Linked DNA regions of Pelodiscus sinensis. The protein of the gene in region 4 purifies or fractionates together with the protein of the main gene of each other region. This does not show direct contact. Links are inferred from orthologs where the notes say so. Each region holds a gene or a part of one and is shown on either strand. Other genes may lie near its edges. The genes, in order: FBXW7, NFKBIB, CHUK and NFKB2.

What was found.
Region 1: the proteins of NFKB2 (region 4) and FBXW7 purify together in Homo sapiens (affinity purification with mass spectrometry; 7 studies listed by BioGRID and IntAct, with this or other methods). This does not show direct contact. The link is inferred for Pelodiscus sinensis from reciprocal best matches to the Homo sapiens genes NFKB2 and FBXW7.
Region 2: the proteins of NFKB2 (region 4) and NFKBIB purify together in Homo sapiens (affinity purification with mass spectrometry; 4 studies listed by BioGRID and IntAct, counting the BioPlex papers as one, with this or other methods). This does not show direct contact. The link is inferred for Pelodiscus sinensis from reciprocal best matches to the Homo sapiens genes NFKB2 and NFKBIB.
Region 3: the proteins of NFKB2 (region 4) and CHUK purify together in Homo sapiens (affinity purification with western blotting; 4 studies listed by BioGRID and IntAct, with this or other methods). This does not show direct contact. The link is inferred for Pelodiscus sinensis from reciprocal best matches to the Homo sapiens genes NFKB2 and CHUK.

Annotation. Positions count from the first base shown.
Region 1 is NC_134715.1:55,466,762-55,473,614, forward strand, and holds the start of FBXW7 (F-box/WD repeat-containing protein 7), read right to left. Parts: upstream 3,015-6,853; 5' UTR 2,909-3,014; coding exon 2,753-2,908; intron 1-2,752. UniProt on the Homo sapiens protein: Substrate recognition component of a SCF (SKP1-CUL1-F-box protein) E3 ubiquitin-protein ligase complex which mediates the ubiquitination and subsequent proteasomal degradation of target proteins.
Region 2 is NW_027465946.1:251,535-258,800, forward strand, and holds the start of NFKBIB (NF-kappa-B inhibitor beta), read left to right. Parts: upstream 1-4,255; 5' UTR 4,256-4,341; coding exon 4,342-4,679; intron 4,680-5,851; coding exon 5,852-5,957; intron 5,958-6,892; coding exon 6,893-7,121; intron 7,122-7,266. Other genes in the region: SIRT2 (NAD-dependent protein deacetylase sirtuin-2), read right to left, coding at 229-345, 1,266-1,314, 3,172-3,218, 3,729-3,744. UniProt on the Homo sapiens protein: Inhibits NF-kappa-B by complexing with and trapping it in the cytoplasm.
Region 3 is NC_134718.1:7,059,413-7,066,955, reverse strand, and holds the start of CHUK (inhibitor of nuclear factor kappa-B kinase subunit alpha), read left to right. Parts: upstream 1-4,524; 5' UTR 4,525-4,582; coding exon 4,583-4,705; intron 4,706-5,092; coding exon 5,093-5,187; intron 5,188-7,543.
Region 4 is NC_134718.1:2,691,897-2,699,377, reverse strand, and holds the start of NFKB2 (nuclear factor NF-kappa-B p100 subunit), read right to left. Parts: upstream 3,001-7,481; 5' UTR 2,992-3,000; coding exon 2,734-2,991; intron 1,863-2,733; coding exon 1,784-1,862; intron 1,428-1,783; coding exon of another isoform or gene 1,356-1,427; coding exon 1,315-1,355; intron 1,015-1,314; coding exon 916-1,014; intron 632-915; coding exon 480-631; intron 1-479. UniProt on the Homo sapiens protein: NF-kappa-B is a pleiotropic transcription factor present in almost all cell types and is the endpoint of a series of signal transduction events that are initiated by a vast array of stimuli related to many biological processes such as inflammation, immunity, differentiation, cell growth, tumorigenesis and apoptosis.

The DNA.
Region 1 (6,853 bases), on a different chromosome or scaffold from region 4:
TTATCGCCGAGCAGGGGAGTGAAGGGTGATGCTGCGGGACCAACACAGCAGCACCCCAGCTGCTCTGCTCCACCGCTTGTTGGCCGCTCGTCAGTTTCAGCAGCAGCAGCACAGAGCAGCTGGGGTGCTGCCGGGTTGGTCTCGCAGCGTCACCCCTCACCCCCCTGCTCGGCGATAACATCTGCAGTATGGGGGCTGGGAACTCTCGGCGGCGGCGCAGGGCTTCCCCTGCCTTCCTGCAAAATGACAAAAGGTTCGCCCCTTGCCACACCGTTCCCCGCCAGCAGCTCCAATTGTCCAGCTGGCTGGAGCACTTCCGGGTTCCAGTTGGTGCTGGAATATTGGGAGTGCCGGACCACTGGATGCTGGACAACTGGAGATTTACTGTACTTGTTTTTTCCTACTGAAGTTAATTTCGCTCTTTAAAATTTTACACCTGCAACTGCTGAACTCTTCTACTCCCAAATATTTTACTTAAGTATAATATATTCAGGTACAAGTTGAGCCTCTCTAGTCCATCAATCTCTGGTCTGGCAACATCCATGGTCCGACATGATTTTAATTAGCAGAACGTCCACTTATCACGGGTGTGACAAAGTATCCCATGAAGTCTGTTTATAGCAACTAGGCCTGGCTCTCAGTGTTCTGTGCTGTTATTTAGCTCTAATTTACTCCTAAATGTATTTTAAGAGCCCAGTTAAGCAGTGGAAGTGTTGGTAACGCTGCTAGACAATATTGACCTCCTATGGCTGGGCTACTCAACTTTGGAAAGTTGAGTAGCTGAGAGACACAGTAATACTCACAGCACATGCCAAAGGCTGCAACATAAGTGCGGGTTGCATATACACGCAAATATATATGCAAATATACGTAAACAGATTCTTTCACACTGATGGGCATGAATACAAAGATTAAGGCAAGACTACACAGCACACAGGCCCCATTTAAATCAGTTCTACTGATACTGATAAAATGCAATATTTACCCCATTTCCACGCATATGACAGCACTTTTAATGAGCAATGACAGTCCAGGAATTTAACTACTAAAACACATATCAACAGAAGACCATTAAATTGACTTGCCATTGTGGAGCGTGCTCCCAGGGGAGGCCATACTCAAACGATCTCACCTGCAGGCCGCACATTGAGCCCCATGTAAACCCAACCCCCTCACGGGCTGCAAACAAATGGGCCATGTGTTGAGTAGATCTGTCTTACAGTTTGACAAATTCTCTGGTTCAGCACTGGTCAGGTCCTGAGGATGTCAGACTAGAGGGGTTCAACCTATATTTTAACTTCAAAAAATGACCCCTGATCCCTATATCAACGAGGTTTAGAGACACAAAATAGAGTGAATCGTGCCATCTCCCTCTAGAGTAAAATTGTTATGTATGGGGTATTATTTGTGACCTAAGTAACAACTACTCTATAAAATAAACCCTGAAAAACGTTAAATGAAGGAACATTTAAATCACTGCACTCTATAAATTACCTTGAAAACATCCTGATCTTAACAAGTGATTGTTTAATATACAGATCCGACTGATATTTTCAGGTTGAGGTGACTGCATGGTCACCTAACTTTAGCACACTAATCCACAATTCATGTTACCTTTTAACTTATCTGTCTCTGACTTCAAAATTCATACAGGAATTTCCCATTGATAGGTGTACTTATTTTCTACTTATCAGTGCAGCACAGGCACAATATAACAAAAGTTAAAATGAATGTTTAACACAGAAATAATTATTAAGCTCTCTCTCACAAAATAAATGTCCTATAGCAGCCAATACGTATCCACAAAAAGGTATGCTTATTCTTGAATAAAAACATATTAACAATGCACTTTGAAAATTTTTGACTGAAAAGGACTAAATATAAACCAGCATCAGACATAGGGACATATTTTGTGCTTATACATATTGTTTATTCACAAATGTACCTTGCAAATGAAAGCAGCATTACAAATCTTAGAGATAAGAAACTTAAATAAAAACACAGGTTCAATTTCAGGGATATATATAGTCACTTCCATGCAGTAAAATCCGTAACTGGACCTGAAGTTTTGCAGTTTAGTTTAGTTTGATTTTCAACCAGAGCCAGCATTTTGCTTCCTACCCATCAATGTCCCATGTAGATAAAATGGTAAAGATAATTTCTATCTTTGTACTTTAAAGAGTAGCATTAGTTTTGCCAAGTTCTCAAGAAATGAGTAAAGGACATTAAGAAAAATATGTATTAAATAACTGCCAGAAAAAGGCTACATGTTAAATGTATAAAGATGACGTCTGATTCTATATAGAGAATTTTCTCTAAACTGAAAAATTATCTAAAATTTTAAGATGTCAGATGCTTCTATCATATAATATCATTGGGGAAGAATTTCATTAAAAGTAATTTTTATTTTGACATAAAGAAGATACTGCATCTTTAAGCATCCAGCAGTTTCAAAGCAACGCTAGGCTGCAATCACAACATCCATTAGAGTGTTCCACGTTTCAGAGCAAGCAAGCAAGCAAGTGGTTGTCATTGTAGCCAGTAAATCACCTGATCCTATTACAAAATCAATTACTGCAGCACATTTCTATTGCTACATAACCTGATGATAGCAAAATGATATTGGATAGCTACTGCAAGGTCAAGAAAACTGCTAGGAACAGCTCAAATTTCTCTTTTAATGTAAGTCTAAATTATAATGCATCTATTTAATGGTATATTTTAGATTTTAAATAAATATCTATATAGTTACCTTTTTTGGTTGATTGGGACATTCGGTGGATAGTCTCTGTAACTGGTCTGACGTATGGCTGCAAGATAGAAGATCAGAGCAGCAGGTCGAACAGCCCAGCCTCTTCATTAAAGAAAAAATAATGCTGCAGCCACATCCACACATTGACTTGCTCATCAGATGACTTTATTCCTTAAGAAACCAGAACTGGTACATTCCCATATATACTCAAAATTGGCTGACTGCCTCATTCTGCAGTTCCCTGGCTGAAATTAACACTGATAAACAGGAGAAAAACAAAACAAAACACGTGTTCCTCAAAAAAAAAAAAAAAAAAAAAGCCAGCCAGAGTCCCAACACGAAGCAAAATTCAACAGTAAAATATAGACAGTTTTACAAGGTAAGATGTTTTAAGGCTCTTAACTGGTTTATAAAAGGAAGAAAGGCACCTTAAGAGGAATAGATTCAAGGTGTCAGATACATTAAATTGCACACTCACTACAGTTTGTTCTTCTCCATCACTTCAAGTCCAGTTACCTACTCTAACGGCTCAGCCTATCCAACCTGTTCTTTCTCTAAGTGCACACTATTCCAATAGCCAACAGAAAAGAGCCACACCCCTCAACATCCTCCATGCACTCTATTCAAGAGCTGCTCAATATCTCAAAAAAGAACTGCTGTTGCATTGCTTAGAACAACAACAGGGAAGGGATTACTGGATGGAGGCTGACCTGCCAATCAGAGCAACTGACCTTTTATTACTCTAGTGTTCAAGAGGGACCTGTCAATACATTCAAGAAGAATGACAGACTTGTCTTCCTGTTATACTCTACAATAGATTTTCTACAATATATATTTTCTAATTTTATTGTAAATTGAATAATTTGTATGCAACAAAAGGATTGCACTGAAACATACAAAATTCTGTAAAGAAATGAGAATGGCTGCTACCAACCTATATGAGTTGTGATAACATTTAAGAAAAAAAACAAACACAAATTTAAACTAAAGGAGGACCAAGAAAGGAAAGTAAGTTGAAACATAACCTTTCTCTTATCAATCCCCAATAGAACTGTCTAGGATAAGCAGCTTTGAGAAAAAAAAGTTACACAAAGTCTTTGGCTCAGAGGAAGAATTGCACAGAAAAGCAACAGTAATTCAAAAGAGTAGTCATATCTCATAGGCTTCCAGGTCTGTTCCAAAAATATTTCATGTGCTGAAACCAAAATATGGTCTCTCAATAACACTCTCTACCTGTCTAATTGCATCTGTATAATTCGGTCTCAGTCAAAAACTTGACTGTTTCTCAGGGTATAAAATCAGTGAACCATATACTGATTTTCCCTTTTCATGTGATGGCATATTGTTATATGCCAGCATTACAAATATTTTAAAAACTTCATTTTAACCAGCTTACTAAAGTAAGCAATATGGTTTCTGAAATAAAAGGGTTCATATTAACACAAATGCTTAAAATGATTACAGGATAAAATGACTTGAAGTAAGTGTCATTTGCATTTATAGAGCTATCAGTGCTGGTCTAATTCAACAGCACCCCTATCAAAAGGTTACAAAAAAGTAGATGACGTAAAAGCAGCTTAAACATATATGTGTGTGTATGTTTATATATATATATATATGTGTGTGTTTTTATATATATATACACACACACACACACACACACACACACACACACACACACTGAAGAAAACTTCAGTTTTCTTACTGCACTGAAAGCTTAATCTGTCTCTTGCTCTCTCCTGCTCCCACCGCTTCCTTCCCTCCCCTTCCTAGGTTTAAAGCTGAATTGAGCTAGTATTGCCTCTCCCTTTCACCTTGCTCTGCCCTTTTGATTTTATGTTTCTTTTCAATCAGTTTCCAGTGGTATCTAAATATAAAGCATGCACTATAAATAGAATAAAAACCCCTTTTATAGATAAAGACTATGGATGCAAATAAGCAAAATAATGCTATAACCTTTTACTCGCCTGCTTGAGGTACTGTCTGCTGCATAGAATTTTAAATCCTCATCTGCAGATGCAATTGAGCTGGTATTGCCAAGGACTTTGCTCTTCCTGTGCTGATTCTACACGTCTATTCATTGAAAGAGCACATTATATCGAAAAATTAAAGTAATATCAGGTGAAATTACTCAGATGGATTGAAAGCAACCGACATCTAAAAATCAGCTACTGCTTTGACCAGTCACATTTCAGAGACATGTCAGACACATTGGTGAAGAAAGTCTTACTGCTGATGCATGCTTGCCAGCAATATGCAGGATGTGGAAGTGCAGAGAGCTAATGAAAAAAATTAATACACAGAATTGAAGTGCAAGGATCACGCTTTGTCCATTAATACTTCATGTCTTTCATGCCACAGTATCTCTCTTCTGAAGATGCTACTGCTTACAAAGCTGAGAGATCTTGTCAAAAACAAAACCTTTGTATCTCAGTAGACTGCAGATAAGTTCTAATAAAATATTCTAACTGTGCACAATACCTCTAATAAATGGAAAGCTTATTTTTTCCTTTGGCAGCACATAATTAAACATTACAAAATGTTAGTTCTAAACAACAACAAAAAATAATAAAATACTAATGCGCTAGGTAAAGATTTTTGGTTTAACATGGTTGTGAAATACACTAGCATTTCATTGGAATTTGTATTCCTCTTAAAAGAAATGAAACACCAGCAGTAAAGGCTGTTATTCATTATTTATGATTTTTCCCTCCTCATGTCAGTTTCCTTAATGTACTATTGATTCTCAGAACGCATACAGATGGGGCCAGTGACAGACAAACCAGATATATATAGAACAATGATCCAGAAGAGACAAAAGGAAGATGGTTTAGAGAAATACTACTATCACTGCAGAATTTTGTTTTCAGGAAAGGAAAAAACAATTCCAATAGAAGTTAATTCTGATGAAAACTTGAAATTTTTTTGCACTGAACTATTCTATAAAATATTTTCACGTGTAAAATCAGATTTTGTCTTATCTGAAAAGTGTTACTGCTACATTCAGAAAACAAGTAAGCACTCCAAACCCTGACACTGGTAATTTTGCACATAGTTTAACTGTGACAAAGGCAAGTTACCGCTGAAGTTAAAATTGTTTTTTATGAATTGAGCACAAGATCAACCTGACCTTCACTTTCCCGTTACAAACTCTAATTTATTGAGTTACCCTTCAAGTTATTCTTCAATAGAATGTATAGTAAGGCAAGCAAATGCCAGAACTATTGATATACCACTTCACAAATTTAACACCCTTATAATATTTCTATCAGTTTTAAAGTTTTAAAATAGTTTTTAATATTAGTAATTTAAAAAGGCATTAATCTTGTTCTGTAATAAAAATGCTTTATTGCAAATATCTCATTCCCTAGCAACTTATATATCCAACCACAGAATTGTAATACTTTTCTTAACAGAGGTGGACTTCATGCTAAGCTAGAACTTACTCTTCCATGAAATGTGTTATAGACTATTTTTAATTTCAGAAGCTAGAGAAAGCTAGTAGGGGAGAAGCTGTTCTAGATTTGTTTTTAACAAATAGGGAGGCACAGGTTGAGAATCTGAAAGTGGAAAGCAGTTTAGGTGGAAGTGATAATGAAATGATGAGTTCATGATTCTAACAAATAGTAAGAGTGAGACTAGCAATATAAAGAATGAATTTTAAGAAGAAAGAGTTTAGCAAACTCTGTCCCATTGGAAATAAGTCTAAGAGGAAGAACAGTTGGCAGTTTCTCAGAGACATTATTAAGGCCACAGTAGCAAACTAGCCCACCACGTAAGAAAGATAGGAAGTATAGTAAGAGACCACCATGGCTTAACCAGGAGATGTTCAATGGTCTAAAATTAAAAAAAAATAAATCAAGTCTACAAAAAGTTGGGAACTAGACTAAATTACAAAGAATGACTACAGACAAACACCACAAGTATGTAGGGGCAAAATTAGAAAAGCTGTGACAAAACAAAATCAAACTAACTAGAAGCATAACAAGAAACACTGGTAGCAAGAAAACATTCTATAAAATATATTAAAAGCAAGAGGACAAGGGACAAGGACAAGGGAGGCCCATTACTTAATAATGGGGAAAAACAATAACAAAAAAC
Region 2 (7,266 bases), on a different chromosome or scaffold from region 4:
GGTGTACGAATGTGTAAGTGACACCTGTGCCCCTGCTTGTAAGTTACACCAACATGGAGTCCCTGCCACATCCCTTGGTCTGCTCCAGGCCTGCCCCTAGACAGCCCCGCTAGCCCACAGCCTCTCCCTCAACCCCTTTCCCTTCCCACTGTGAGGGGGGAAATCAGGATGAGAGTCGCTCTGGTTCAGTCTCAGAGCAGCTGCCTCCCAAGAGGGGACCCAGCTTACACTTCTCACTCAGCATGAAGCGGCTCACACCATCTAGTGTCAGCTCATCCAGCACCTTCTCCGGTTTCTCACTGCCCAGGCCCAGCGTCCGGGACAGGAGATTTCGCAGGAAATCCACTGAAAGGGAGAGGACAAGCAAAGTTAGCTGTGTATTCCTGGGCTCTGGTCCCAGCTCTGGGAAGGGAGTAGGGTCTAATAGTTAGAGCAAGGGGACTGAGAGCCAGGAGGCCTGGTTTCTAATCCTAGCTCCACGGATTTGCTGAGCAGCCTTGGGCACGGCAGTTCTCGTCCTCGAGCCTCAGTTTCCCCCTCAGGACTCCATTTCCCAATGTCACAGAAGGAGGTCGTTTTGAAGGTTAGTTAATATTTAGAAAGTGCCTTGAAGACTTAAAAGGGAAAAGAGGGTGTGTGAGTGCACTGGGAACGACAGGAGAACCCGGCACGGACGGAAGGGCCCATTGTTTAGGTTCAAGGCACAGCTCTGCAACTGACTACTCGTGCGAGGAGTCGCTGGGGCCTGGCGTATGTTACACGCTTCAGTTGGCTGGGGGTGTTCACACCCGCTAGTTGACACAGCCGTGCTTAGCAGAACCCGCAGTGCAGACAGCAGAAAAGCGTGCCTGTCTGTTTAAATAACGTCTTTTGCAAAGGTGGTGTCACCGGACTGGCCTCAGTTTCCCCTTCTGTGGCACTGCCCTGCCTCCCAGGGAGTTATGGGAACAAATATGTCAGAAACAGAGGCTTTCAGAAACTACAGCGACAGGGGCCTGAAGATAATTGAGAAAGATTATTCAATCCCAATTCCAGCCACAGACCAATTTTTGCCTCGAAGCCCGGACAGAAAGAGCTGGTTTAACGACAGATGATTTACCCCTATTCACGTTAATCACCTGAGGCATTAGGCCCCCCTGAGAGGAAGGAACAGGGATAGATTGACAGACCCAGCAGGCTCTCCCAGGCTCTCCCCTGTGTATCATGCTACTCGGCCGCCCCATGCTCCCCATCCCTTCCCCTACAATACAGCACAAGTTACCTACTTTCAGACTCTCCAGAAGCACCACCGTTTTCCGAGTCAGAATCAGAGTCCTGAATAACAGAAAAAACACACAAAGATCAGACAGTTAAGTTCATAGGTTAAGTAAGCCAGCGTTAATGCAGCCAGTTAAGTAAGCCAGTGTTAACGCAGCCGGTTAAGTTCATAGGTTAAGTAAGCCAGCGTTAACGCAGCTGGTTAAGTTCACAGGTTAAGTAAGCCAGCATTAACGCAGCTGGTTAAGTTCATAGGTTAAGTAAGCCAGCGTTAATGTAGCCAGTTAAGTAAGCCAGTGTTAACGCAGCCGGTTAAGTTCATAGGTTAAGTAAGCCAGTGTTAACGCAGCCGGTTAAGTTCATAGGTTAAGTAAGCCAGCATTAACGCAGCTGGTTAAGTTCATAGGTTAAGTAAGCCAGCGTTAACGCAGCCGGTTAAGTTCATAGGGTAAGTAAGCCAGCGTTAATGCAGCCGGTTAAGTTCATAGGGTAAGTAAGCCAGCGTTAATGCAGCCAGTTAAGTAAGCCAGCGTTAACGCAGCCAGTTAAGTTCATAGGTTAAGTAAGCCAGCGTTAACGCAGCCGGTTAAGTTCACAGGTTACGTAAGTCAGCATTAACGCAGCCGGTTAAGTTCACCGGTTACGTAAGCCAGCGTTAACGCAGCCGGTTAAGTTCATAGGTTAAGTAAGCCAGCGTTAATGCAGCCAGTTAAGTAAGCCAGCGTTAACGCAGCCGGTTAAGTTCATAGGTTAAGTAAGCCAGCGTTAATGTAGCAAGTTAAGTTCACAGGTTAAGTAAGCCAGCGTTAACGCAGTCGGTTAAATAAGCCAGTGTTAATGTAGCTGGTTAAGTTCATAGGTTAAGTAAGCCAGAGATAACGCAGTCGGTTAAATAAGCCAGCGTTAATGTAGCTGGTTAAGTTCACCGGTTACGTAAGCCAACGTTAATGTAGCCGGTTAAGTAAGCCAGCATTAACGCAGCCGGTTAAGTTCATAGGTTAAGTAAGCCAGCGTTAACGCAGCCGGTTAAGTTCATAGGTTAAGTAAGCCAGCGTTAATGCAGCCGGTTAAGTAAGCCAGCGTTAACGCAGCAGGTTAAGTAAGCCAGCGTTAACGCAGCCGGTTAAGTAAGCCAGCGTTAACGCAGCCGGTTAAGTAAGCCAGCGTTAACGCAGCCGGTTAAGTTCACAGGTTACGTAAGTCAGCATTAACGCAGCCGGTTAAGTTCACCGGTTACGTAAGCCAGCGTTTATGCAGTCGGTTAAATAAGCCAGCGTTAATGTAGCAAGTTAAGTTCACAGGTTAAGTAAGCCAGCGTTAACGCAGTCGGTTAAATAAGCCAGTGTTAATGTAGCTGGTTAAGTTCATAGGTTAAGTAAGCCAGAGATAACGCAGTCGGTTAAATAAGCCAGCGTTAATGTAGCTGGTTAAGTTCACCGGTTACGTGAGCCAACGTTAATGCAGCGGGTTAAGTTAGCCAGCGTCAATGTAGCAGGTTAAGTTCACCGGTAACGCAGCCCGTTAAGCCGTCTTCTGTGTTTTACTGGCTAGTGTTAGAAGCATCTGTGTCTGTGGCAGGATCCTCTGAGGACTGGGACAAAGGCAAACCAGGACTCCTGGGTTGTGCTGCAGGAAAGGGGCCTGGTCTCCAGATACAGCAGGGAGATGGTAGAGGAGCCAGGCCTCCTGGGTTTTAGCCCCAGCACTGGGAGGGAAGTGGGGTGGGGGCTCTCGGGGTCTGTCCCTGGCCCTGGAGGCGAATGGGGTGGAGCAGGTTAGAGCAGCGGGCTGGGGGCCAGGACTCCTGGTTCTTTTGCAGGCAGGCTGTGGTGGGTGGCCGCTCGAGAAGAAGGGAAGGGGTTAGCAGAGAGCCCCCGCACTGCAAAGGGAACCCGAGCTGCGCCCCCTACTCACGGGAGAGTCCGCGCCCCGCTCCGCCTCGCGCCCGCCGGGCCCCGCAGCTGGGACAGCAGGGAGAGAAGAGACCCGAGTTGCTGGCGAAAAGGGGGAGGGAGGCGCGCTGCTATGGGGGGGGGCATTGGGGGATGGGGGGGGCTGAGCCCACGGGGGGGGCGTTGGGGGATGGGGGGCGTTGGGGGATGGGGGGGCTGAGCCCGCGGGGGGGGGGCGTTGGGGGATGGGGGGGCTGAGCCCGCGGGGGGGGGGCGTTGGGGAATGGGGGGGGCTGAGCCCGCGGGGGGGGGCGTTGGGGGATGGGGGGCTGAGCCCACGGGGGGGGCGTTGGGGGATGGGGGGCGTTGGGGGATGGGGGGGGCTGAGCCCGCGGGGGGGGCGTTGGGGGATGGGGGGCGTTCGGGGATGGGGGGGGCTGAGCCCGCGGGGGGGGCGTTGGGGGATGGGGGGCTGAGCCCGCGGGGGGGGGGGCGTTGGGGGATGGGGGGGCTGAGCCCGCGGGGGGGGCGTTGGGGGATGGGGGGCTGTCCCGGGGGCGGGGCTATCCCGCTAGTCACCGTCCCGCTCGGCCATGGACCCCGGCGCCCGCCCCGCTCGGCTCCGCCGGACCCGACTGCGGCAGGGAAACGGGCCGCCCGCTCGGCAGAACTACATCTCCCGGCGTGCCCCGCGCCCCCGCCCCGCCCCTCCTCCCGGCGTGCCCCGCGCCCCCGCCCCCGCCCCGCCCCTCCTCCCGGCGTGCCCCGCGCCCCTGCCCCCGCCCCGCCCCCCCTCCCGGCCTGCCCCGCGCCCCTGCCTCCGCTCCCAGCCTGCCCCGCGCCTCCGCTCCTCCCGGCGTGCCCCGCGCCCCTGCCCCGCCCCGCCCCTCCTCCCGGCGTGCCCCGCGCCCCTGCCCCCGCCCCGCCCCCCCTCCCGGCCTGCCCCGCGCCCCTGCCTCCGCTCCCAGCCTGCCCCGCGCCTCCACTCCTCCCGGCGTGCCCCGCGCCTCCCCCCTCCCAGCGTGCCCCGCGCCGCTGCCCCGCCCCTCCTCCCAGCGTGCCCCGCGCCTCCCGGCCTGCCCCGCGCCCCTGCCCCGCCCCGCCCCTCCTCCCAGCGTGCCCCGCGCCTCCCGGCCTGCCCCGCGCCCCGCCCCGCTTCCCGGCGTGCCCCGCGGCGGGCGCTGGGGGGGCCATGGCGGAGCCGGCGGGCGGGGCCACGCGGGCCGAGGCGGGCGAGGACGGGGACTGGTGCGACAGCGGCCTGGGCTCGCTGGGGGAGGGGCAGCTCAGCCTAATCCAGGAGGGCCTGGCCGTGACCTCTGACCCCTGCCCCCCGACCCCCGACCCCGCGGGCGGCCCGGAGCGGCCGGACTCGGCGCTGGGGGCGGCGGAGGAGGAGGGGGGCGGGGCGCTGGGGGCGGTGACGCGGGGCCTGGGCTCCGTGCGCGTCGCGGACCCCCCGCCCGGCCAGGGCCCCCCCGAGGCCTGGCTGCGCCACGTGCTGCGCTTCGTCACCGAGGACGGGGACACGTAAGTGGGGGACCAGCCCCCCCCGGGCCTGTGCCCCCTCCGAGCCCCGCCCCCCCGGGCCTGGGCCCCCTCCTAGCCCCGCCCCCCCGGGCCTGGGCCCCCCCTCCTAGCCCCCCCCCGGGCCTGTGCCCCCCCCCCGGGCCTGGGCCCCCGTCCGAGCCCCCCGCCCCCCCGGGCCTGGGCCCCCGTCCGAGCCCCCCGCTCCCCCGGGCCTGGGCCCCCGTCCGAGCCCCCCGCTCCCCCGGGCCTGGGCCCCCGTCCGAGCCCCCCGCCCTCCCGGGCCTGGGCCCCCATCGAGCCCCCCGAGCCCCCCGCCCCCCCGGGCCTGGGCCCCCGTCCGAGCCCCCCGAGCCCCCCGGGCCCCCGTCCGAGCCCCCCGCCCCCCCCGGGCCTGGGCCCCCGTCCGAGCCCCACCTCTCCCCCCCCCCGGGCCTGGGCCCCCGTCCGAGCCCCCCGCTCCCCCGGGCCTGGGCCCCCGTCCGAGCCCCCCGCTCCCCCGGGCCTGGGCCCCCGTCCGAGCCCCCCGCCCTCCCGGGCCTGGGCCCCCATCGAGCCCCCCGAGCCCCCCGCCCCCCCGGGCCTGGGCCCCCGTCCGAGCCCCCCGAGCCCCCCGGGCCCCCGTCCGAGCCCCCCGCCCCCCCGGGCCTGGGCCCCCGTCCGAGCCCCACCTCTCCCCCCCCCCGGGCCTGTGCCCCCGTCCTAACCCCCCCCAGGCCTGTGCCCCGTCCAACCCCCCCCCCCCCATCCTGGATTCCAGGCACTTGGCTTGTGCCCCGTCCAACCCCCCCCCCCCCCCATCCTGGACTCCGGGCGCTTGGCTTGTGCCCCTGTCCTAACACCCCCCCCTTCCCCCCCCGCCCGGCTGCCTTGATATCTCAGTGCTGTCTCCATCGGCCGCGGCCTGCAGTCCCTGGTGTCCAGTTTCTGGGATGCTTTAGGCATTAACTGTAGGAATTCAGTCACTGTTGGCAGCTATTCTATTGCCCACACTCCCAGGAGTTTTACACCCACCTGGTTTCCCTGCTGCACCCCCAGCTCCTTGCTACTTGCTCTTTGCTGACTAGATCGATTCCTCTTCTTGCTATTGCTTCCCTTTCATGGGTGGCATTTCCAGCCAGTTGCAGGGTACTTATTTATTTTGCTTGGAGTGGTGTCTGTTCTTCCATCCCCAGAGCCCTCCACTTGGCTGTGATTCATGAACACGAAGCCTTTCTGGATTCTATCCTGCAGTACACGGCCGGGACGGAGTACTTGGATCTGCAGAATGACCTGAGCCAGGTTGGGCCAAGACTGGAGCTTTTTCTGTCTGTAGTCTCTGGCAATTGCAGTGGGGAAACTGAGGCACAAAGAGCCACATTGGTTTGCCTGAACATTGTACAGCCAGTTGGGGACAAAACTCGGGAGTAGTGGCTCCTAGTCAGCTTCCTACACGATATCGCCCATGCCACCTCCTGTAGGGAGTGATTGGGTTGCTGGCAGGAAGATGAAACACAACCACATATTAATTCCTCTGCATCATAAATGAGTTGGGGGAGCAGGGAAGAGTGTTACGGAGCACAGCAGTCTTTCTGGAGCAGGGAGCTATCCCTCGCTTTGTGTCTGTATAGCATCTAGCATGCTGGAGATGCTCCTGCAAGCAACTGATAAATGAGACACTAATATCCAAACACATCTTCCCCTGGATCCCCTGATGGCTACCTGTTCCTTCTCTCTGGCGCTGGCCACTGTCGGAAGACAGGGTGTTGGACTAACTGGAGCTTTGGTCTGCTCCAATATATGGCCGGGGAATGTAAGGAAGGCTGGGGAATTGACAGTGGCAGTGGACCAAAGTAAACGGGGCCAGGGAGGGCTTTGTTTAAAGGGTGTAAGGTGGTCGCGCTCATGCCAGGCAAATCAGCTGCCTTCCATGTAGCTCACGGTGCAGAGGAAGGACAAGACCGTGTCGGCTCCTGTGCCTGGGTAGTAGAGACAGCTTTTGTGTGAATAGTCGTGTCCTTGACTAAAATTTCTGACCTGCTTGTGCAATTGGCCACTGCCTGCCTGCCCAGAGGTGGCTGCTTTTCAGCGCTGCGTCTGGAATATGGGGTGTGACGCTATTAGGGTGACAGCCCATGGAAAGAAGCGATCTGTAGTGGTGTTAGTAGGCCGGGCACTTTTTAGGGAAGATCAGCCACAGAGCTTTCTGACCTGTCTATCTCGCTGACCTTCCCCAGACGGCATTGCACATTGCAGTCATCCTCGGTGCCTCCAACTTTGTCCGCAAGCTGATGGCAGCCGGGGCAGGGCTCTGCGTGCAGGAGAAAGGCGGCCACACGGCGCTGCACCTGGCATGCCGGGAGGGCTGGCGGGACTGTGCACAGTGGCTCTTGGCATCGTTGAGCATGCGCAGATCCTGTGAAGGGAGTGACGCCAGGGCTCAGTTGGACTGCACCAATTATGATGGTATGGAGCCTCTCGTCACCCACCTGGGAGTGTTACACGTGGGACCTTTGTCCTGAGCATGCTGTGTCCTTCCCCAGCCAGCATGGCCAGAGCTCTCTGTGGCCCAGTTACCCTCCATTTCCCTCAAGGCTGTGAAGGGCTGAAT
Region 3 (7,543 bases), about 4.4 Mb from region 4:
TGAATTGATTATGGAAGGGAGCATTGTGGTGGTTTTCTGCCTGGCGGATCTGTGACAGTGTCAGAGCGGCCTCACCCTACCACAAAGAGTATAAAGGAGAAGGACTGTCATGAAAACTTTTCCAGAACTTCTAGTTTTCAGTTATTCTTCCATCTCCTACAAGGCAGACCTGCCTCATAAGTTTAAGTCTGTAGAGACAGGTGATCTGTCTCGTGTGATGAAAAGCAGTGCTGAGGGGTGTGCAAGCCCCAATGATGGATTTATTGCCTTATCTACTAGGAGAATAGTATGGTTTGTATCTCTTTCTCATTATGTTGTCCATCGCCAGGTGATTCCTGTACACTCACTGTTGAGATACTGAAGACATTAGAATCCTTTATTGTACAGGTGCAAGAATGACAAATTGAATTACTAGAAATCCCAGAGCACTTGGATATCCAGCAAGTAAGAAACAAGATTTTCACTTATTTATTTAATCTTAATCCTTTTTAGTTTGCCATTTCATTAAAAAATATCCTTACATGACCAGAGTTAAGTTGTAGGCATTTTTATTGGAAGATACTGTAGGACTGCTATAGGGTAACGGTAAATAAAAGGTTAGAAGTCAGAGAGAGCCGGACTTTTCTGTGGTGGGTGGATATAAGAAAGAAGTCTTTGTTGGTGTGCCAGTCATGTCTCTGAGATCAACAGAATTTGTTGTTGGAAGAGCAGGTGCAGCTTTATTTGCTTCAGTGGAATAGTACCAGTTTATGCCAGCTGACTAGCTTTTGGGTTCCCTTGTCTGGATAGAGCTTAAATAGTTCCTGCTCTTCTTGTTGGATCAATAAATAACTAGCAGCAGACTAGCTTGCTGTGTCCTTCGGACCCATTACTCCTTGGAAACCACATCTGCGGCAGAAGTAGGGACAAGCTAAAAAATAAAGTCCATGTTTTCTTTTAACTCCGACACACGGTGGTTTGACTTCATGCAGCTGCCTGATCAGCATTACACAGAGAAGAAGCCTGATTTCAAGCAAAGTTGAGTCTTTACTCGGTCTGGCTCAGAGGGAGCTCCGGTGAGGAAATGGGAACAAAAATATAAGACTTCATAAAGCAGCTAGATTCCATGAATAAAACCAGACAATGAGTATCAATAGTGGGTTTTTTTCTAGTATAGGAAGTTCCTGGTCTTCCTGAAGAGATGATTGGGTAGCTTCTGGGCAGTGGCACAAATATGTTTGCATGACTATTTAAAGGAATGCAAGAGTTTAATACCCCCTGTGCACTGGGAAGCATAAGGGCATGATTTTCAGCAGGCTGAGATGTGCAAATTCATTATGCTTTTACTTTGGTTTCAGCATACAAACATAAAGATGCTTCGTGCTGGGAGCTCAGGCCCTCTGTGGACAGGGGCTGCCAACACCCTTTGGTGCTACCTCTGATGCAGTGTCAACAGTGCAGAGAGGCAGGTGGGAGCTGTTTTTTAAACCAGCTCTCTGCATAGACCAGTTTCTGCCTGCTGACCCATGCTGCTGCCTCTGCATTAGAGGCAGCAGCACAGTGTGGCAGGCAGCTTCCCTGCGGGCTCTTCATTTAAAACTCGGACCAGTGTGTTGGGACTGAACCAGCCTGCTGGTGCAAATTTTAAAGGGAGGGAAGGAGAGAGAGAAAGAGAGAGTGTTTGTGTGTTGTGGTTAATTGGGACAGGCAATTGCTTATAGATTAACAATCGGGTAAACAGTTATTCGGCTTAGACACTAACATCCCTACTTGTGGCTTGTGTGGCTCAAGGGGAGTGAAAACACTCATAATAATATCTCTGTGCATTGTGCTTTTTGCAGCTGGAAATGTGGCTTTGAGGGTTCCTCCATCCACACTACTGGAGCAGCTCAGATCAGGAGAAGAAAAGGGATGTGGGGTCAACCTGTTCCAAGAGATCCTGCCAGCCTCTGGTGCTGCACACACTGAGTAGAGGGCTTGCAGAAGCACCTTTGTGGGGCGAGTGGAAAGGGTTAGTGCAGAGAGGAGAAACAAAGAAGAAAAGGACAGAAACGTGCAGCAGTTCATGTTAGCGCGCTCAGCGCCAGACGGACATGTTGGAGACTTCAGGTGCAAGTAACCCTGGTTTGCCTCCCGTTGCAGTCTATTGATAACTGCATTCTGAGACCTCTCTACACTTCCTGCCCCCACATTCTCCACGTGTTTCTGTGCTACTGCAGTTCTACCACATCACCCTGAGGGAGAGTACACGCAGTCAGAACTGCATATATGCTGATGAATGAGACACATTGTGTGTGTGACATGAGAATGGCTATTCTTTCCCCTTCAAAAGTTATTTTCCCTGTATTTGTAGAGTTTCATTCAGTTACAGTTATTTTTGGTTTTATGAGTTTGTAATAAAAGTCTATTTATGAAAACTTAATTCTTTAATTCACATCCTATGGTAGCTGGGCCTGACATTGCACAATAATAGCACTTTGTGTATTTGCAATGTTATATTACCATCTTGCCTCTTGGGCCCAAACCTATGAGCCTTCAGTACCCCAGTTTCACATCCTAAGTTCCCCTCAGTGAGTCTCTTTGAACTGGACTCTTGGGGAAAACTTGCACACCCAAGTGGAGCAATGCACCCCTAAATTCCTTAATCTGGAGTGACTTTCAGACAGTGTTGTAAAAAGCAGAAGGATTTATTAATAGTCAGGAACACAATGAAGAAAGTCCTTGGTAAACAAGGGAACAGAGTTACAGGAAAGTCCATCCGGGTTGGTCCTGAATCCAAAGCTCTCTCTGACCCCTCCTGAGTCCCAGTCTGCTTCCAGGTGCTTCCCTTGCAGTTTGGAAAATTTGTTTTTCCTATAACTTTTATCATGTTTAGCATAAAATATATATTTGATATACCCATCAGAGATGCACTTTTACAGCAGTTCAGAGGGGAGCTGGCATTAAGATATTGGCTTAGAAAAATGATGAATTACTAACTTAAAGTAAATGTTTAGTAAAATAACATTAAGCTCTTTAAGAGCTTATTTGTGGCTCTTGGTCACTTACAAAAGAGGAATATATATTTAAAGATGAGGCAACTGAGGGATTGAAATGTGAAGTCACTTGCACAAGGTTGGGCAGCAGCATGGCGGCAAAAACAGAACACATCTCCCGACTCAGTCCTGTCTTTAACCAGAAGCCCCTCCTTTCTTTTGTCCATTTGCGGAATGAGATCTGGAGTTTCATATTTGTGGAGATTCCATGTGCCTCCAGTTATTTATCTATATAGTGTGTCCAAATTACTAGCCACCGTTAGGTAATATACAATTGTACTTAAAATGAAGAGATGAAGGCAGTGATGCAAAACCATGTGGCTACGTCTAGACTGGCATGATTTTCCGCAAATGCTTTTAACGGAAAAGTTTTTCTGTTAAAAGCATTTGCGGAAAAGAGCATCTAGATTGGCACGGACGCTTTTCTGCAAAAGCACTTTTTGCGGAAAAGCGTTCATGCTAATCTAGACGCAGTTTTGCGCAAGAAAGCCCCGATTGCCATTTGCGCCATTGGGGCTTTTTTGCGCAAAACAGCTTTTAGCTGTCTACACTGGCCCTCTTGTGCAAAAATGTTTCTGGAAAAGGGCTTTTGCCCGAACGGGAACGTCAAAGCATTTGCACAAGAAGCACTGATTTCGGACAGTAGAACGTCAGTGCTTTTGTGCAAAATCAAGCAGCCGGTGTAGACAATTGGCAAGTTTTTCCGCAAAAGCAGTTGCTTTTGCGGAAAAACTTGCCAGTCTAGATGCAGCCTGAATGTATGGCATCTGCGGTAAGGTAGTGCTGCCTAGTTTACATTTCATTTTCCATAGTAAAATGACTTTTAAAAATGAAAAGTGAGGACTGCATCTGAGTAGCCCTAATTGTACCTTTATGAAGTTTTTGGTTACTTTGTTCATGAAGGGACTTGGCAGAATTTGTTTTTATTACAATAAATTTTGACACATGTTTAATTAAGGCAATTTTTTAGATTCTTACCTATTTAAGTTTTAAGTTAAAGGAAATTATGGGAGGGGGTCAGACAGTTATTTAATGACAGACACATTTATAAAGCACTTTGCCTTGTAAACACACGCTGTCCAAACTATAACAAGTACCCTTAAATGGCGTGGCATGTTCCTGAGTTGCTGCTTCTCTGTAATCTGGGGCTGTAACTGATGCAGATGTTTTTTCCAGCTGTGGGGAAGCTGACAGGCTCTGATACAAATCAAGTCCTACCAAGCCTACCCGGGGGGAGGAATGGGTGGCGCTGCCCCCCCCCGCAAAGCTCCCGCAGAGCTCTGCTCCAGGCGCCACGCGCAGGGCACGTGCTGCAACACATCCCCGCCCCTGCAGGGAGGTGAGGCCGAGGGGCGTGGCTCAGCCGGGGAGGCGTGGCTTGATCTGCATGCGGACCGCGCGCTCCCTCGTCGCTGTCGGGTGGGCGGGGCCACGGGCTCCCGCACGCGCCTCGGCCGTTGGCGAGGAGGAGGGGCGGGAAGCGCGAGCGACGCCGTTCCCCGCCCCCGCCCGGCGGGAAGTGACGCGCGCGCTGGTTTCCGGGCGAGCGGCCGGGGCCCGGGCGAGGCATGGAGCGGCCCCCGGTGGGCGCGGCGCTGCGGGGGCAGCCCGCGGGCAGCTGCGGCCCCTGGGAGATGCGGGAGCGGCTGGGGACGGGCGGCTTCGGCAACGTCTGTCTCTACCAGCACCAGGTGCGGGGGGGCGGCGCCGACCCCTCCCCCCCGGGTTCGCCCTGTCAGTCGCCCCGCCCCCCCGGGAGCCCGGCCCGTCGCTGCCGGGTCACCCCGCAAAGCCTGCTGGGTAACCCCTCCCCCCCCCCGCTCACTCTCCTCCCAGGGGCTCCTGCCCCCGCACCGCCACCCGTGTGCAGCGGGGGGGGGGATCTGTGTGGAGGGGGGGTATTTGGGGCTGGTCACTGGGATCAGGCTAATGGATTGACCCCCCCCTTAACCCCCCCTTGGCCCCCTCCCGTCCCCCAGCTTTCTGGCCCGACACTGACCCCCCCGCACCGTGCCCTTCTGCTCCAGCCTCTTGCAACCCGGCTGGGGCCGCAGCACCTGTGACTGTTTGTGTTGCAGGAGCGGGGTGACAAGATCGCCATCAAATCTTGCCGGTTGGAACTCAGCACCAAAAACAAAGACCGGTGGTGCCATGAAATCCAGATAATGAAGAAGTAAGTAGGTTGCATCATGGCCTTGTCTTTTGCTTTTGGGAGGCAGTGTTCTCAGATCCACGGGGGAGCGTTTCCCCTTCAGAGATGTCACTAGCTACAGACTTCTTTCGGTCTTATTCACTCTCAAGCTTCAGGGGGTAGCCGAGTTAGTCTGTACAGGGGAAACTTAAAAAACAACAAATAGTCTGGTAGCACTTTAAAGACTAACAAAACATGTAGGTGGTGGTGTGATGCCATCTACATGTTTTGTTAAACTGCAACCAGACTATTTGTTGTTCTAAAGAAGGTTATCGTTAGCCTCCAGGGAAAGAGCTGTATTTTAAAAACAGTTTTACACTGATACCATAAAGGGAAAACACTGTAATTATGATACATTTAAAAAGCTCTTCTTTTCGTGGTCTTGCAGTTTGATGGGAAAACTACGCTTGGCAGTGAGGTGTGTCTGTTTGCTCTTGGCACAGAAGTGAACATTGTGAGACGGGTTCATAGAAATACTTTTGGCGGTTTTGCATTTTGATTACTTTAATATCAGAGAGAACATTGAGAGGTGACTTGATCAATGCATCTAGGCACTAATAAACACAAAAGGGAGCTCAAAATGGATTTTTTTTAAACCTGGTAAACAGAGAATGGGGTCTTAGAGCTGGAAGCTGAAATTGGACAAATTCAATCCTGAAACGAGACAAGGTTTCCTAGCATTGGAACAGTTTACTTGAGAAGTGGGGCAACTACCATTGTTTGGAGTCTTAAAAAAATCTTGTCGTACTGACTGCCAGATTTGGGGTCAGGGAGGATGGTATGGGGTATGGTTCACTTTCAGGGGTCATATGGCCATGGCTAACTTAATCAGTAGAGCCCTGTGGGGATACAAATATCTGTCTGTGGATGCACATATCTGCTGATCAACATTGGCATATGTTGACCTGTAGAGCTCTACTCCCAAGAGGCACTGTAACCAAAGAGAGGAGCATGGTCATCTTGTCATTCCCAGAAGCCAGTGACAACAACTCCTTCCTGCCATGTGGCTGTACTGTCTCCAGTACCACCCCTAGCGGGGCTGTAGGACCTCAGACAGAAGATGGCAGGGTTGGGGGAGGGGGCGTACAATCACACTGCTGAGACGAGCTGCTGGCGCAGGGCACTGGCTCCTAGGAGCAATGGGACCATGGAATCATAGAATACTAGAACTGGAAGGGACCTTGAGAGGTCATCGAGTCCAGTCTCCTGCCCTCACAGCAGGACCAAGCCCAATCTAGATCATCCCTGATAGTCTATCTAACCTTCTCTTAAATATCTCCAGTGATGGAGATTCCACAGTCTCCCTAGGCAGTTTATTCCACTGTTTAATCACCATGTTCTTCTCCTTTAGTCACACTGCCTCTTGACAGTAGAGCCCTTCAGGTCAGCAGATACTGATGTCTATCCGCAGATATCTGCATCTGTGGAAACATTTGTGTAGGCATAGGGCTCTACTAATCAATTTCATGCTGTTGAAGGGGCCTCCTGCATTTGTGCCACCTCCATCTCTCCCATCTGCTTGTGGGTCACAACAGTTTAGTTGAACCCAAGTCATTGGACTAAATATAAAGGTAACGAGGTGAAACTTAATGGCCTGAATTTGAGGCTACGATTGTCATGGAGGTCACAAAATCTGACTTTTTTGTGACCAGTGACATTTTTTCATTTCAGCCCTTGGCAGCAGGGGACCTTCCCAGTTCCTAGCTTTAGTTTAGCTCTAGTTCATATGTTAGTTTCATCCAGGATGGAATATTCTTTACTGCTGGGATTTGAACCCAAAACTCTTGTCCCACTCCAATCCTTAGCCTGAAGATTCTTTCGACTCATCCATGATCTGCCTATTCTTAGAAAATCTGAATTCTGTTTATTGCCCCTGGGTAACTTACTGGAGTAAACTTGTTGACAATTATGTGCTGGCCATCATGCTTCTAACATTAAATGTTTTGGGAAAAGAAATCTTAGGCTACACAGCAGCATTATTTTTGAATAATGCAGAGCACTTCTACACAGGAAGTCCGTTATTTTGAAATAAAATCGAAATAATAGGCTTCTTACTCCGACTTTGATAAACCTCATTGTATGAGGAGTAAAGGAGGTCGGGGAAGAGTGCTCTATTTCAAAATAACTGCTGTGTAGACAGCACTAAAAGTCGAAATAAGCTATTTCAACTTAAGCTACTCAATTAGCAAAGCTCAAGTTGTCGTTTATTTCGAGTTTAGCACTGCTGTGTAGATGTGCCCTCTCTGTCTTCACATTTGAAACACATTTTATTGATTCATCTGCTTGTTGATCTTCTGAAATACCTGTATCAAGATTTTCGTCATGCTTTCCATTGCTT
Region 4 (7,481 bases):
CAGGCAGCCTGTCGCCAACCACGCGACTAGGGCAAGAGACCAGGAGAGCCCCCCACAGCCCCGTCCCGCGGTACAGGAGAGCCACGAGCCCCCCGGGGTTCGCCTGCTGCTCTCCCAGGAGCAGCGCCCTGGGGGGTTCTCGCACATTAGCTCACCCGTTCCAGGCCCCCCCGGCGCTACAGCCTGCCCCGGCAAGAGCACAGGCTTGCCAGGGAGTCTCCCACGCCCGTCAGCGGATGCGCCCGTTCCGTGCGGGTGAGGCATTGGGAAGGGGGCTCCTGGGGCCGAGGTGGAGAAGAGAAGCCCCGGGAATACGTGTCTGTCCCCGCAGAGGATGCCCAGCTACCAGCCAGAGGGATCTCGGCAGGGGCTTGCTGAGGGCAGCAGCTGTGCCTGCCCAGCACCAGTGTAACTGACGCGACAGCGACCCGGCCACCGCCCGGTACCCACACAGGCCTGCCCCAGCCCCCGGTCCGTACTGTGCCGTCATGTCCTTGGGGCCCACGGTCACGATGCAATTCCCAGCCTCGTTGCACTGCTTCCCCACCAGGCTGTGGGCGTGCACCCGCGGCGGGTCGCTGTGCGTCACCAGATCCACCTCAATGCGCGCCACGCCACTGTAGTTGCAGATCTGGCGGGAGAAGGGGGAGTGAGCGGCCCTCCCTGGCTGCGGGGGAGAGGAGGGAGGGCACGGGCCTGCAACCTGTACTGCTGGCTCCCCCGGGGTCGCATTCCCCTTCTCCCCAAACCCTCGCAAGCCCCTCAGCACAGGGGCCAGTCTTATCCCAGCTTTCTTTCCCTGGAGGTTCACCTCCCACCTCCGGCCCCGGAGCAGTCTCCCTGCATGGGCACACGGGGTGCTGCGGGGAACCCCCGGACCTCAGCGCCGCGCCGCACAGCTTGCCTGGCACTCACCTTGACAGTAGGGTAAGTCTTGCGTCCCTTCTCGCTGGATGCGCCAGGCAGCCCGCCGTGCGAGGGGCCTTCACAGCCGTACCGGAACCGGAACCCACGCTGCCAAACCAGAACCCCAGTCACAGCCTGGTAGAGCCAGGGCCCCGGGCCCCACCCCACTGGGAAAAAGGCCCACACCGACCGCCTACGCCCCTTCCCTACTGCGGGGGGCACAGGTTGAGAGCCTTGGCCAGGGGACCTTACAGCTACTGTCACCCCAGCTTTGGCAGGCGGGAGCTGCGGGGCGGGAGCAGCCACGAGCGGGGCGGGAGCAGCCGTGTGCGGGGGGCGGGGCAGGAGCTGCGGGGGGGCGGGGCGGGAGCTGCGGGGGGGCGGGGCGGCTACCCGCAGAGTCCTCACCTGCTTGGGCTGCTCGATGATGATGAGATAGGGCCCTTCGGCTGCGGAGGAGAAAGGAAAGACACCGAGTGAAGCGCGCCCACCTGCACGCGGGGCCGACGGCTGGAAACCCGCTGACGGGGGCAGAGGAGAGAGGAGGAGGCAGGGTCAGTGCTGGAGGTGAAGTCAGATCACGCTCCCCCTGCAGCAGAGCCAGGGAGGGGCCCCACAGTGCCCCTGGGGTGAGCGTGCTCCGGGAAGCAGCACGGGGGGGGGCTGAGGCGGAAGGAGATGGATCAGGCCCCCCCACTCACCGGAGCCCTGCGATCCAATGGGCGGGACAGGCCCTGCGGACTGATCACCAGCCCAGCCAGGCTCCCCACGGCTGAGCGGGAATTCTCACTCCCGGGATCCGGGCCTGCCTGGGAATTCCCCTCGGCCTGGAGCCAGGCAGCTCCCTGACCCCCCCCCCGCGCAGCCAGACCCTCACCCGTCTCCATCAGCGGCTCCTTCTGCTCCATCAGGCGGGAGCTGAACTGGAAGTCGTCGTAGTCCATCCCGTCCAGGCACTGCGGGACAGGGGGAGCCTGACACCCCGCCCGGCACAGCGAGGGGTCCCGAGCCCCACACCGACCGCCCCCCATCCTTCCCCCGCCCAGCACAGCGAGGGGGGGCCCGAGCCCCGCACCGACCGGCCCCCCGATCCCTTCCCCCGCCCGGCACAGCGAGGGGGGTCCCGAGCCCCACACCGACCGCCCCCCATCCTTCCCCCGCCCAGCACAGCGAGGGGGGGCCCGAGCCCCGCACCGACCGGCCCCCCCATCCTTCCCCCCGCCCGGCACAGCGAGGGGGGGCCCGAGCCCCGCACCGACCAGCCCCCCCATCCTTCCCCCGCCCAGCACAGCGAGGGGTCCCGAGCCCCGCACCGACCGGCCCCCCCATCCTTCCCCCCGCCCGGCACAGCGAGGGGGGGCCCGAGCCCCACACCGACCGGGCCCCCCATCCTTCCCCCCGCCCGGCACAGCGAGGGGGGGCCCGAGCCCCACACCGACCGGGCCCCCCATCCTTCCCCCCGCCCGGCACAGCGAGGGGGGGCCCGAGCCCCGCACCGACCGGGCCCCCCATCCTTCCCCCCGCCCGGCACAGCGAGGGGGGGCCCGAGCCCCACACCGACCGGGCCCCCCATCCTTCCCCCCGCCCGGCACCGCGAGGGGGGGCCCGAGCCCCGCACCCACCGGCCCCCCCCATCCTTCCCCCGCCCAGCACAGCGAGGGGGGGCCCGAGCCCCGCACCGACCGGCCCCCCCATCCTTCCCCCGCCCGGCACAGCGAGGGGGGGCCCGAGCCCCGCACCCACCGGCCCCCCCCATCCTTCCCCCCGCCCGGCACAGCGAGGGGGGGCCCGAGCCCCGCACCCACCGGCCCCCCCGCCGGGTCTCACCGCGTTGTAGGGCTCGTCCATGGCGGGGCCGGGCTGCGCGGCGGGGGCGGGGCCGGGCCTGGGGGGGGAGGAAAGTTGGGGCCGGGCCGCCCGGAAAGTCCCTAGAAACCCAGCCCGGGGCTGGAAATGACGGGCCCGCGCGTCACTGGCCCCGCCCCCGGCCCCGCCCCCGCCGCCTGGCCCCGCCCCCCGCCGCCACCTGGCCTGACCCCGGCGCCCTGCACCGCCCCCCCGATCCCCCCGCCCATCCTGCCCCATAGCACCGCCCCCCCGGATCCCCCCGCCCATCCTGCCCCATAGCACCGCCCCCCCGGATCCCCCCGTCCATCCTGCCCCATAGCACCGCCCCCCCGATCCCCCCGCCCATCCTGCCCCATAGCACCGCCCCCCCGATCCCCCCGCCCATCCTGCCCCATAGCACCGCCCCCCCGATCCCCCCGCCCATCCTGCCCCATAGCACCGCCCCCCCGGATCCCCCCGTCCATCCTGCCCCATAGCACCGCCCCCCCCAGACCTCTCCTGCCCCATAGCACCGCCCCCCCGCCCATCCTGCCCCATAGCACCGCCCCCCCCCCCGGATCCCTCCGCCCATCCTGCCCCATAGCACCGCCCCCACGGATCCCCCCGTCCATCCTGCCCCATAGCACCGCCCCCCCGCCCATCCTGCCCCATAGCACCGCTCCCCCAGGATTCCCCCACCCATCCTGCCCCATAGCAGCGCCCCCCCAGGATTCCCCCGCCCATCCTACCCCATAGCACCGCCCCCCCGGATCCGCCCGCCCATCCTGCCCCATAGCACCGCCCCCCCCAGACCCCTCCTGCCCATCCTGCCCCATAGCACCGCTCCCCCCAGACCCCTCCTGCCCATCCTGCCCCATAGCACTGCTCCCCCCAGACCCCTCCTGCCCATCCTGCCCCATAGCACCGCTCCCCCCAGACCCCTCCTGCCCATCCTGCCCCATAGCACCGCTCTCCCCGGCACCCCGCTGCCTGATTTGCGGGCACCCCGCAGCACTCCACTCACTCCCCTCCATAGCCAGAAAAGCCCCCCCACTGCCCCCAGCCTTCCTACACCCCCAGCTGCCCTACAGCAGACACACTGACCCTGCAACACACAAGCCCCCTGGCCCCAGCGCACCCTTCGCCAAGCCCCCCCCACTCACCCCGCGGTTCACACACCGACTCCCCTGCCCGCCTGGTGCCCCCCTACCTTAGCCGCAGGCCGGTGCGGAATACCGACTTCTCTGCGCACATCCCCCCATGCATGGACCCTCCCTTGTCACTGCCAGGCTGGGAGCCCCACAAGCCCCTCAGCCAGAAGCACAGCCGACTCCCAGCAATGCCAGGGCTGGCTGTGGGTGACCCCGGGGCGGGGCTAGGCGAGCTATGCAAATCATTTCCTGCCCTTCTGAAACACAGAGGGAGTTTTCACCTCCAGGCCCAGAGATTCACAATCAGTCAGTCACTAGGAGGGCGCAGCGGAGAGGCAGAGCTGGGGTTGGCCCTGCCCTGGGCCGGAAACTCCGGCAGGCCGCTTGCTTTCCCCACTGCCGACTCTCGCTTCTGCTCTGAGTCGCTATTCCAGCACCAGGCTGGGCCGGAGATTCCACGGTCCAGCCTCTAGCGTCATGGGTTTGCCCCGGCCTCCCTCCTGCTGGCATGCGGCGTTCCAGCAGGTGGGCCTCTGGCTCCACCCCAGAGGTGGCCGCATTTCAGAGGCCAAGTGTTTAGGGATCCTTGGCTATGAAAGGCAACAGGGATTAACCCCTTCTGATGCTCCTCCAAGGACACAGAAACCTTGGCGAGGTAACGCAACACCAGACGGCTAGACCTGCTGTGTGTATATGCAACTGCCTCTGAGCCAGAGCATCCCAGCCCCCTCCTCCACCCCCAAGCCTGCTGCTTCGCATAATACAACATCCTCTGTGCTCAGAGCTAAGGGGCACAGAAAAGCAGCCTTGCTCCATGGCCACCTGCCCACGGCCCCATCCTCTGCCCCCCAAGCACGGAGACCGTCCCTCAGCCCCAGTCCTCTTCCAAGGCAGGTCCTGCTCATCTCTCCCCATTCCCGGGGGGCCGAGCGATACCCCCCAATGCCAGCCACTCCCTCCCCCGGGACCAGGCACAGACCCTCCCTGCCCGCCCGGCTGAGAGCAGCACTTTCCACCTCGCCCCAGAGATGGCAGCAGAATGGGGGTTGCCCAGTGAGGCACCCAGCCCCCTGGCCACAGAACAGGGCAGCTGGAGGGGAGAGACTCCGAACAGGTCGCCTCCAGGCCAGCCTTGGCGCACAGGGACTGAGGCCCTGGATCTAAGCCTCGGACTGATGCGGCAGCTGGTGCCAGTGACTCTCCCCTCCCCAGGCTGGGCCTCCACGGCCCGTTCAGCCCCTGCCAGCCACAGGGCTCCAGTCCTGTCCCCGGGCTGCGAATGGCAGGACCTGGTAGGGCAGGACCTCAGCGCAGCCCCCGGTCCCTGTCCAGATTGGCTTCTCCCCCGGCCGCGGCAGCGGCCCGGTTCCCACTCTTCGGCACTCTCACACCATGAATCACTGGCTGCCGGCAGGCCCCACCGTGGGGATTTTGGGTGCGTGGGGGAGAGCGAGGGGTAGGACGGGGATTGCACAGGCAGTGACTCATTTTCTGCAGAAGTCAAAGGGAGGAAAAAATTCTCAAGGAGATTTTCCCTCCGCTCAAAGTCTAGCCAGGGGCTGCCCTGCATGCGTGGCCGGGGGCAGCGGGACTACGTGCTCTGCCAACCAGCCACCTTGCCGGCACGGAGACACTAGGAAGAGATGCTGTGAGCGGGGAGGGGCGCCCGGGAGGAACCCCTGGGGATGCGAGGAGGACTCTGAGGAGGACCAGGGCTATTTGGCTCCTGGCAGACCCCATCACAAAGCAACCCTGGGACTCCACCACTGCCGCACGGCAGCTCACAAAGGCCACAGAGCACGGGCGGCATATCCTAGCCCCTCGCCTTGGGCACAAGGTAGATCCAGGCCAGCCCATCGTAACACAGAGCCTTTGGGACCAGGCAGCCTGGCGTTGACATGAAGGATCATGGGTGGGAGGCCCCGATGTCCTTGGGCGAAATGGATTTCCCCCAGCCGGTGTTTTAATCCACAGAGAGTCTCCTAGCAATGCAGCCAGGGCCAGGATGGACGCCTGGCATGCGGCTGTGCCCGTAGAGTGTTCTTCTGGAACATTTTCTCATCGTCTACTCCCATGTTAGAGCAGGGGAGCAAAGCAGCACACCGGGGTCTGGGATGGGCCTTAGTGCCTGAGGGAGTTTGTTCCACAGTCTCTGGAAAAGCCTGGCTCCCGCACAGAGTTGCACTGTGCCAGGAGAGCTGAGCTGTTGCCTGTCTCCTCTGGCCCTTCAGGCTCGGCTAGATCCCTTGGGCCCAGGAAGACATGCCAGAGACTGAGACCTGCTATTCCAGAGAAAGCAAGTGCAGGGCAGCCGAGCTACACCCCAGAAGCAGCTGCATTTCAGCAAGGCAGCCTGTGTAAGCACGTGGATTCCTTCAGGACAGAAGAGGCTACAAAACCATAGCAGGATACACAGCCTAAGCAGCATCCTTTTCCAGCCGGTGCCTGATGGGCCATCTTCTGCCCCCGGTCTCAGTTCCCCAGACACACTGTCTGTAGGTACCTCCCCTTCCACCTGCCCGCTGACATTTCACGCTCGCCGTGCCTACCAATACAACCCAGTATCACAGGTACTATTTTTGCCGCAGCATCTCCACATGCTGACTCACGTAGCTGATCCTCCTCCCAGCGGGCGGGGAGCACAGCCCGGGCACACGATGTCTGCTGTGAGAGCGCGGTGTTTCGGGGGCGCAGAGACCGGGGACGCAGGCCTACGCCCCATGAGCACCCACCCTGTGCTATAGCTGGTGAACCCTCTCCTCTCTCTGCACCCAGCTCCTCCTCCCCACTGCTCTTTCCTGGACGGCTTGTCGCGCTCAGTTAATTTCTTATTTGCCAGCATCCTGCTGTATTTGTAACCTCCCCATCTACCCAGGAGGTTCACCAAGCTGACCCTCGACTCAGTTATTGCCTGATCCCTTTGGAGGACAAACAGCAAGTCCTGGAGCATGGCAGACCCCGCAGGATCCCACCTGGGCACCCGGAACAACGGTGCTCAGCGTTTTCCAGGGGACAGGGAAGGCTCCCTGTTCTGCACTCCTCCGCAAGGTGTGCTCCCTGGGAGCATTCCCTGCAGGACCAGGGTGCGAGGACCAAAGGATGCAGCTGCTGCAGGAGCCTGGACCAGCATGCTAGCCTAGCACGGACTCAGGGCCGTCCTGCGGCTCACTGCAAGAGGCTCTCCTTGGGGAGAAGCCAAGGCGACTGCCTGTGCTCCAGCCAAACCAGCCCTTGGCCTGCCAGGACGGGCTTCCGTCGGCTCCCCAGGCAGCAGAGCCCAGGCTGAACGCCACTCGGAGCACCTCTAGGAAGCACCGGCCTCCCGTCGTCTGCTGGGCCTGGGCGAGCAAGGGGCTTGCTGCAGGCAGGAAGCCACAGCCCTGCGCAGACACTGGGAGCGAAGGGCTGGAAGGTAGCTGGAGAGCTCCTGTCGCTCAGCCGGCACAGAGGGACTCCCCCAGCTGGCATGCGGTTCCCGGCAGACACTGACTCCGGTGGACTTCAGAGGGAATCTTCAGGGTGAACCTGGGACATACCCTTAGGGACACTTTACAGCCGGGATGGGGAACCTACGGGCCGTGGCTTGGCTTGATCTGG